Arabidopsis thaliana: one gene and its partner. The protein of the gene in region 1 interacts with the protein of each later gene in a pairwise test. Each region holds a gene or a part of one and is shown on either strand. Other genes may lie near its edges.

What was found. The genes of interacting proteins can lie anywhere in the genome.
Region 2: the proteins of AT5G54360 (region 1) and AT2G22760 interact in a two-hybrid assay, tested with the Arabidopsis thaliana proteins (one large-scale study listed by BioGRID).

What each region holds. Positions count from the first base shown.
Region 1 is NC_003076.8:22,069,124-22,074,284, forward strand, and holds AT5G54360 (C2H2-like zinc finger protein), read left to right. Parts: upstream 1-2,738; coding exon 2,739-3,551; downstream 3,552-5,161. Other genes in the region: AT5G54350 (C2H2-type zinc finger protein), read left to right, coding at 1,012-1,797.
Region 2 is NC_003071.7:9,675,075-9,680,703, forward strand, and holds AT2G22760 (basic helix-loop-helix (bHLH) DNA-binding superfamily protein), read left to right. Parts: upstream 1-2,769; 5' UTR 2,770-2,937; coding exon 2,938-3,378; intron 3,379-3,516; coding exon 3,517-3,894; coding exon of another isoform or gene 3,895-3,930; exon of another isoform or gene 3,931-4,022; coding exon 4,023-4,091; 3' UTR 4,092-4,428; downstream 4,429-5,629.

The DNA.
Region 1 (5,161 bases):
TATTTGCAATTATCATATATATATATATTAGAGAAAATAAGTGAAAAATAACATCATTCCATATAATAGAAAATATAATCTTGTATTACTTAGCTTATTAATACATTTTTTTACATATCAATTAATATTTTTTACATATTAATTGCTATATGAAATAACATGAAGTTACCAGTTTGCAACGGTCGATATAACGAACTGAAGCGTAACATTTTTAAAAAAATTGAAATGAGTTAGTGTTTTTTTTAATTTACTTTTACACATAATGACGTATACTATAACAATTATAGATATATTTTAGCTAAGTAGATAAATTTTAGATTATACAAAGCCAGTTGGTATGCACACAAAATTATTATTTTGGAAGACAAAATGTATAAGATCACCATGGTTAGAAAAACAACCATATTTTCTATCTTTCATTGGAGTTATATATAACACATCATGTAAACAAAATCTAGTCAAATTTGAAATATATTAATTAAATTGGTGTATTTTTAACATATGAAGTATCATTTTAGAAAACAGAAAGAACAAAGTCAAGATAACTAGAGACACACGTACTTGAAATCATGAGTAAATAAATATTAGATTATACAAAGCCAGTTGGTACATAATGCACACCAAATTTTAATTTGGAAGACAATGTATAAATCAACATGGTTAGAAAAACAACCATAACTTTTAAAACTATGGATAATTATTCATAGTAGTTATATAACACATAACTTCATATAAACAAAATCTAGTCAAATTTGAAATATATTAATTAAATTGGTGTATATTTAAGAAAGAAAAAAAAAAGTCAAGATTGTTAAGAGGCACAACTATTTCTTTTAAACAAAAAACAATGAATTCAAAGTAGATTTACTGTTACAATTAATGCTATTTGCTCTTGGAGATTTTATACCTTAGCGAGTGCAACACAGTAATTAAATCTCTCAATATATACCATACGTCTCCGGAGAGAAGAAATCACTCACTTCTAATTCTCATCAAAGTTTTACAAAAAAAATGGAGAACCAATCTGTGTCTTCTTCAAGCTCCTCCACCACCCCAAAAAAACCTGATCAAAAACTCAAAAGTGCCGTTGTGACCGTGGAAGAGAAGGAGACAATGAACAATCCGGAACAAAGGCCCCCTCAAGAGGTTGTGTTTGAAAACACGATCCCTGACCCTGAGTTGCCTGTTTTCACATTAGAAGTTGTCCGAACGGAAAGAGATAACGAGCTAAAATATCCTCCAAAGGATAAAAATCTCGACTCGGTGCTTTCTGGTGGTACTTCTCTTCCGCCTTTCCAAAGCTTTCCAGTGCCCTCTTTCGGCCTCTTTGGTCCAGCGTATGGCGGTAGCAGCTCAACTAATGATATTAATCTGGATCTCACTCTTGGTCCATCTTCTTGGTCTAACACTAACCCATCTTCTTGGTCTAACACTGACCCATCGTTCTATCGAAAATTGTTCACTCCCGTGCTACCTTGTGTGCCTAGAAACAATTTTGTTGCTGGAAACCCGGTTGGTTCAAACACTAGGTATATTCCTCCGAATGGAAACAACAATGTTTGTCATGATTTTTTTTTTTTACAGGGGAATAGTTCGGCCTCTACTCACTCGAAAAGTCTCTTCTCAATGGGAAAGAACCAAGCCATGGTGCGTCATTTTGCTTTATCTTATCCAACCACCTATTATTGTTATGATTTGTTTTCTTTACAAGGGAATGGTTCGGGAAACTGGCCACTCAAGTCTCATCTCAAAGTGGGAAAAAAAGTCAGGGTGCCTCCTTTGGCTCCTCCCTATTGAAACAACAATCATGATTTTTTTTCTTTACAGGAGAATGGTTCGGGATCTAGTCACTCGAAAAGTCTCTTCTCAATGGAAAAGAACAAAGCCGTGGAGCCTCCTGTTGCTCCTCCTAATGGAACCACCGATCTTCTGTTTCCTTCACCCGAGAATGGTTCGGGCTCTAGTCACTTAAAAAGTCTCATCTCAAAGGGGGAAAACAAAGTCGTGGTGCCTGAAAATGATGATGATGATGATGATTATACTGATACTACTATCGGGAGGATAAGGTGGTTGAACAAGAAAAAAAGATCAAGACCAGAGTAGTAATTTATCTATGTCCCTTTGATTTTTCAGTTTTCTATTGAGGCTTATGTTCACCTCTCTTTTTTTTTTCATGCAATTGTTTCTTCGTTTCGTTTCAAATAATCTCTGTTGTTTCGATTAATTCATCAGTCCCTTTTGTTCAATTCCTATATCTCATGATTGCTCTAAAATTCCTGCAATTTTCAGAATTCATGGCCCAATTATTCGTAAGCAAACGTTATTTTTTCAAAAGGTTAAAGAGGTTAAAGAGACATTAAAGAGACAAAATGTATAAAATCACCATAGTTAGAAAAACAACCATATTTTTAAGAATATAGATAACTCATAGTAGTCATACGTAACGCATATGAAGAATATTGATTATATTGTTGTGTTTTTATCTTATGAAGTATCATTTTCTAGAAAGAAATTAAAGAATAAAGTGAATGACAGTTGTAGTCTTGGAGAAACAATTATTGCTTTTAAACAAAATTAAGTAGTTTTACGGTATCAATTAATATTTGTTACCCTTGGAGATTATATACCTTAACGAGTTAAATACAATAATTACTATCCTCTCAATAAATATCGCCTCTAAGCAAAGAGATAAGACATCACTCACTTCTAACTGTCAGCAAAGTTTTACAAAACAAATTATGAACAACCAATCTATGTCTTCTTCAAGCTCCTCCTCCCCACACAAACATGATCAAAAACTCAAAAGTGCCCTTGTGGCCGTGGAGGAGAAGGAGACAATAAACAATCCGAAACAAAGGTCTCCTCAAGAGATTGTGTCTGAAAGGACAAACCTTGAGATGCCTAGTTTCAGATTAAGTTTTTTCCGAAAGAAAAGAGATACCGTGCTAATACATCCTCCCAAGGATAACAAGATCAGCCACACCTGTCGTTTCTGCAAGAGGAATTTCAAAAGCTGTTTTGCCCTAGGCGGTCACATGAAGTGCCACAAAAAGGAACGAGAATTGGAGAAGCAGCGAAAGATAATCGAGGATGCGATGCTTTGTGATAGTACTCCTTTCACCTTGCAAAGGCTTCCTGTTGGCCCTTGTAAGTATGGCCAAGGTGGTAGCTCACATGCTTTATCAACTGATGGTATTAATCTTGATCTAACTCTTGGTCCATCCAAGTCCACAGGAGGCAGCAACAATAGCACTAATAACAACACTAACTCATCGTTCCATGGGAATCTAATGACTCCCGTGGGTCCTTGTGTGCCTAGATACAGTTTGGTTGCTGGAAACCAGGTTGATTCAAGCAATATACATGTTCCTGCTTATCCAACCACCGATCTTTGTTATGATTTTTTTGCTTTACAAGAGCATGGTTCGGGCTCTAGTCACTCAAAAAGTCTCATCTCAAAGGGGAAAAACAAAGTCATGGTGCCTGAAGATGATGAGGATATCGGGATGATAAGGTGGTTGCCCAAGAAAAAAAGATCAAGAGGAGAGTAGTAATTTATCTATGTCCCTTTGTGTTTTTCAGTTTTCTGTTTTCTATTGAGGCCTATGTTCACCTCTTCTTTTTTTCATGCAATTGTTTTTCTCTTTTTGTTTCTTTGTTGTCTTTTTGATGATTTTGATGTTTCGATTAATTCATCAAATCCCTTTTTCAATTCCTACATTTCATGATTGTTCTTAAATTTTTGAGATTTTCAGAAGTCATTTTCGTAAGCGAACTTAATTTTTTCAAAGGTTAGAGAGAATCTGCAATTTGCTTAAAAACATTAGTTAAAGAGACATTATCTCTTCATTGACAATTTGTTAGCCTTGGAAAATTGAAAAAAAAAAATAAGAGGCAGAAAGAAGGTCTATCTGATCTTCTATTGTTGTAATTGTAACCTCACAAAAAAAAAAAAAAAAAAAAAAAAAAAAAAAAAAAAAAGAGGCAGTGGTTTCCTTTTGACGATTAGGGTTTCGCTGGTTCCAGTTTGCCCGGTTTTCTTCCTTGACCCAGATCCGATTTACTAGATTGTATTACAAATGTAATCATCTTTCAGGATATTTGTAACAAAAAGATACAACTGTTATCCAATAAAACTGTTATTTTTTTTATGTATTAATATAATCTTGTAATCCTAGTAAGAATTTATAAAACTTAAAAACCTGTAAGGCTGTAACTGATGTTTGCATCTCCATTCTCCAAAGATCTTTTCTATTGAACAAAAATCAAAACTATTTTTGTTTCTCTTGTTCAAGAGAAATCTCCTTTTAAAGATAATTTCCTGAAGACATTTATTCCATAGTATGAAGATCGAGGTCTAGAAGTTGATAGTATTGAAAATTGTCTATTGGATCAACTGGATTGTTTTCTCAAACAAATGAAAGTCAATATTGAAAAACACAAGTGCTTTTTCTTCCAAGCAGGAGATTGATAATTTTGCATTTGGAGCTTGTGCAGATCATTTATATATTAATTTAAGTTCGTGAAGATTTAGGTTTATGGTTGTAGATACCTCACACAAAGCTTACATAGTAGTTACATAGGAATAATACCGAACATCGTCGCTTCATTTGAGATGTTGGGTTGATAGACCCAACAATAAAATCATCCTAAAAGAAGTAAGCTACGTACTTATTATTTATAAAGGCTTGTCCTCCTCCCTTCCTTAAAGCCAAAGCCAACTCTTTAAGTCTCGCTCTCACTGCTTCTGGCGAAAGCTCAAGTTGAGGATGACCTCTCAGAAAATCATCGCTTCCATTTCCATATTCCTCAGATTCAATCTTCTTAAAGCACATATACAATAGCAAAACGGAATCTAGAATTTTATATTATAAAAATGTTGCCACGATTTTTACCAATATCTTATTCAATGTCGACCAAATTAACTATTGAAACCCTAATATCACTGCTTTTATGGAAGTTTGTTTTTCTTGTTCAATCATCGTGGTCTAGAAGTTGATAGCATTGAGAGTTGCTATATGATGAAACTTTATAGTTTTTGCTAGACAATGAGAGTCAATATTGAATACATGAGGAATATGAATACTTCTCAACTTGCAAATTTGTATTTTTACTTCGCAAATTAACAATCTTTTATGAAATTTTAAACAAGTTTTTTGAA
Region 2 (5,629 bases), on another chromosome or scaffold:
CGGAAAAAAGTAAAAAGCAAAAGTTATAGTTATAGTGGAAATTCCTTAAAAACAGGCGACCAAAGCAATGCATGAGCCATGAGTTATTTAATTGAATTAAAAACGTGGCATTTTCCTTATTCTATTGGAAACTCGTTTCACGGAGGTCAAACAAATGTGAAAACCAAAAGTGTTCTTTGGAGTTTTGTTTTGTCTTCGTCAGGTCCAAAAAGTCCAACCAAAATGCCTAGAAGGTCACATAAACTTAAGTACCTAACAGGCTAACAGCAATCTTAATTACATGATATTTTGTTTCTGGACCATAATTGTCCTTAATGATGGGAAGAGAAAGGCTACTGGTATATTTCTGAAACTAGTAGGGGTATTAGATAAGAAATAACGCTTATACTATATATAATTTACATTTGTTAGAATTTTTTTATCTAACTTGGTTTTGGGTTTTGATGGAAAATATCTTATTAAATTATAGTAGGAGCTCGCTTATAAGAATTTTGTTTTGTTGTCTTCTCTCTTCTCGCTTTGAAGAAATTCAACATATGATAAACTAAAAAAATTAGTACGTAGTCTATAATTATAATAACTCATTTTTGTTTTTGATATTATATGAAGAATTCAAATAATTACGGATCCAGTGGCTAACCAATAACACTAACAATTTTCATACCTAAAATCTATTTTTTTTGTATATAAAATAGAATAATATAAATGGTTAGTTCCCAACTATTAGAATTATGGACGAAGGAAAAAGACAAAATTGGAAGGCCCCTTAACAGTGAGTTTGATTAGGACGACAATAATAAAATGAAAATGATTGGTCCTATCCAAACTCATTGACGAAATAGTGTGTTAATGTAATAATATGATATATAAAAAAGAAAAAGGAAAAGAGAGTGTGTGAGTAAAAGATTGGTCGTCAGCTGGATTTATGATATTTCGGCGGCATATCCCGTCCCCACCGCACCACCAACCGGAAGGACCATGGCATGGATACACATTTGTCTCACTTTATATCATAAATAAAAAAATATTATATGTTATCCAGATTTCGTATCCAAAATTTTCTAACAAAATCTCCATTTTATAATTCTACTGACCTTTTTAAAAGGCACTGTTGTGACTTCATTTCAAGAGATACGTACCAAATCTTTATTATCAAATATATCGTGACGATAGACATGTACACACATATAATTGTAGTACGCATTACTACGGAAAGAATATTCCAAGAGCTTACCAATTCCATGCCGCATACATTGGCGTTTATCCTAAGTTAGACTTAGGATTCCTAACGTTCCGAATTTGCGTTGGAGAGCAAGTTCCTGATCTGCTTACGGAAAAATATATTCAAACTCAAATTGCGAATGCCGAGACCATTTCAATTTTTGGGTTTTTGTCGAAGGGATGATGAGCAAATTAAAGCTAGTCCACCTTTTTAATAAAATTGCTTGTGAAGAAGAAACAATTAGGTCCAATATTACTAGAGACAAAGGCAATTTATAATTTTAATATTTTTGGTACTGTTTAAAAAAAACTATCAGTACCAATTGAACAATTTCTAATTTTGATATTTATAATTTAGTTAAAAATATGTTTGTCATATTAATTCTTTTTTTGCTCATATTAATTCATTATCCAGTTTTTTAGTCATTACATTTTTATTTTTTTTTTGTTTAGTCATTACATTGAATTAGTCGAATCAGTACATAATCGTTTCATCAGAGAACTAGTGAATTAAACCGACCCAGACTAATTGGAAGCCTTAATTTTGGATCTTATATTGTAGGCATATTAACTTTTTAATTTTCTTACATAAATCCTTCATATGAAATGTTTGTTTTTAAATGGCCATGGCCCAGAACCATTGCATTTTTGGGCTGGATAGTGGATGTATATGTGAATTCGTCATCATACCAACCTGGTCTGGCCTCTTATTAGTGCAGTTAAGACTAAATAACCCGTTTGGTAGGGAGTAGGGACATTTATTATGTCTGGGGTCGTTATCGCCTTATCGGAATCAAATTGAGTTTAAAGACAAAACAGTATGATCGATTAATTATCAAACACAACTTGTTTATAAATGTATAGATGTCGACATCCACATGGTATCATAACTTCTTCTGCAACATATCCCTCGATATCATATCCACCATTAATCTAATTTATTGCAGTATAACGAGTCGAGATATGTTCATGAATTTTCAAACTCATTAAAAAATTGTTGTAATTTTTTGTTTCGTAAGTAAATTTTGTTTTTTTTCTCTTTCAATTTAACAATGTAATTTTCTGGATGAAAAATTTGCAAACGGTATAAAACTTAACATTTCATATGATTTTTTTTTGGATAAAATTACAATTAAAATAATAAATAAAAGATAATAAAGTATAACTTTTGTATATTTTCCTTTATAAAAAGTAATGAGGTTGTTAGATGGACGGGAAGACGGGGACGAGGCTTTACAGAGTTTTTCTATATCCTTGTTGTTTCCGAGTGGGAATAAGCTCAACACCAAAAACACGTGCTTATTTTATTTACACGTCTCTCTTCTCTTACTTTTTTTTTTTGGGTCCATAACACGTAGTTTTTTTTTTTTCAAATTCATAACACGTATATGAATCTCAGACCACTAGAAGCCAACAAATTATACGATCATTATAGACAATAATGAGAAGACTTCTAGTTTCGATCATAATATGTTTAGTTTATACATATACGTCACGTTTTATGCATTATATACACAATCTGGTCAACATAATTATGGAGTGGAGAAAATAATTTAAGCCGCGTCTCGTTGTCGAATATATAGTAAGAATACCTGAAAACACTTTCTATTCATAAACCCTTTACGACAAAACAATAAAGACGTCTCTCGATTTATCTTTGTCTTAATCAGGAAACTATTTGACATTTCTTTATCGATTATTACTTCATATTCGGGTATGGATGAAGATTTTTTCTTACCCGATTTCTCACTAGTAGACATTGATTTCGACTTTAATATTTACGAAGAAAATAATTTATCACCTGATGAATCTTTATCAAATTCACGAAGAGCTGATCAATCGTCAAAGTTTGATCATCAAATGCATTTTGAGTGCCTCAGAGAGAAGCCAAAGGCAGCGGTGAAGCCTATGATGAAGATCAACAACAAGCAACAACTGATTTCTTTTGATTTCTCTAGTAATGTTATTTCTTCTCCAGCCGCGGAGGAGATCATTATGGATAAATTGGTTGGTCGTGGAACCAAAAGAAAAACATGTTCTCATGGCACAAGATCTCCGGTTCTTGCGAAAGAACATGTTTTAGCCGAGAGAAAGCGCCGTGAGAAGCTTTCTGAAAAATTCATTGCTCTTTCAGCTCTCCTTCCCGGGCTTAAGAAGGTATTGCAAATTTAAATTGTAAATTATCGATAAATTTGTTATATATTTAACTATAGATATTTTCATAGTGAAGAAAAAATAATAATTCATCAGTGTCAATTGGTTTTGAGAATACAAAACTATCTTGTGGTTTTTTAGGCGGACAAGGTAACGATTCTTGATGACGCGATCTCGCGTATGAAACAACTCCAAGAACAACTAAGAACGCTCAAGGAAGAAAAAGAAGCAACGAGACAAATGGAATCCATGATTCTTGTAAAGAAATCTAAAGTGTTTTTCGACGAGGAACCTAACCTATCATGTTCTCCTTCAGTTCATATTGAATTCGATCAAGCATTACCAGAAATCGAAGCGAAAATTTCTCAAAATGACATTCTCATCCGAATCCTTTGCGAGAAAAGCAAAGGGTGCATGATCAACATACTAAACACAATTGAAAACTTTCAATTGCGCATTGAAAATAGCATCGTATTGCCATTCGGAGACTCGACTCTCGACATCACAGTCCTTGCACAGGTGATCATTAATAACTATATATATATGCAATACTAAAATGGATAACTCGTAGTTCATCCAATATAATATTGATGTATTAATGAAACTGATAATCTACAATTATGCTTTCTTAACTTTTTGTGTGGCAGATGGATAAAGATTTTTCGATGAGTATACTTAAGGATCTTGTACGGAACCTGAGACTCGCAATGGTTTAGGTCTTCTTTCAAGTTTTAGTAACCTGAGACTGTACATTGACACAATCGTTTCGTGGATTTGCTATCGTTTTCTTCTTGAGATTTTTTCACACGTGCCCACATGTTTGATGTGTTTTTTTAGCAAAGCTATTTCCGATAACGACCGTTGAGAATTAATTTAGATGTAACATTTTTTGTTTGTTAATAATGAATTTAAAATATAACAGAATTGTTTTTTTATTAAGTGGCAGAAATAAATGTGGCCTTATCCGCTGTCCAAAAAAAAAAAACAAATGTGGCCTTATCCTTAGCATGGTCGTAATGCCTTCTGACTTGTTAAAGTATTTTGTAATTATTGACAAACCCTCTTCAATTCTTAATGAAATTCACATTCATGTCAACAAGAAACATATTGTAGAAAGCAAACCTTTTAACCAATCAAAAAAAAAAAAAAAAAGGAAAAGAAGATTGCTTGACATTAAAAAGATATTGTAGAAAGCAAAATTACATCGAAGGTCAATGTTACAAAATTCTGAAATATTTACGAAAAAATAGTAGGGCATGAAAATGGATTAAAAGAATTAACTTAATTATCTATAGTTTTGCCCCAATAAAGATATACAATTATAGTTTTCGTAATTTATTTTGAAAGTTTCAGTAGTTAGCAAATTCAACAACTTAGCTACATTTGCTTTCGACAAAAAAAAAAGCTACATTTGCTCAAAAAAAAATGACGCTAAATTCAACCAAATTTATTACTATTTACCAATAACTATTTAGAAGTCATAGGGCAAGGGCAGTATCGGAGGGACGTGACCAAATAATAATTGCCGCACGACGCGGTACGATTAAAAGCCAATTCAAAACCTTTGAGTACCACCTAACAAAATCATTTCTTGGATACGTTTATACTCACCCCAAATCTGGGATACTAATCAATTATAAAGTTAAGATAAAGATTTTTAATAAAAATAATAATTCAGCGCATCGATTAAGAATAAAATTACAATAAATTAAGCTTATTAAAATTTCTTTCTTATTTCTTGATTTCCGATATAAATAGTCACACGATCAAGGGTCAGCTATAGCTTGATAACATTTAACTTTGTGATCTTCGGATTGACACATGTCTTATCTCTGTTAATAACGCTTTTAAATGGCTCATATACCAAAATGTTTTGCCTAATTACTTCTCTTAATAAGTTTCGAATTTAAAAACTCCCTTCATATCGAGAAAGGAGTGATCACATGAATCACATGTACTATATATCACGTGATCAATTCAATCCGTTAAAAGTTTTTTTTTCCTTCCGTCAACAACTTGTCTTTTGCCACAAACAAAAAAGTTAAAGGATAGTCAACCACTGTGAATACCTCACAATAATTAATTACTATATATTTTATGGTTTCCATCTCTTTGAATATCGACACGAACATGTTACTTCAGCTTCCATTGTCTTGGATTTTGATTAGTGAATAATCGTAGAGGTTTTGACATAACCACAAGAGCATGTGTGCCATAATATGCTTGATTAATGATAGTTTTCCCTGATTCACCT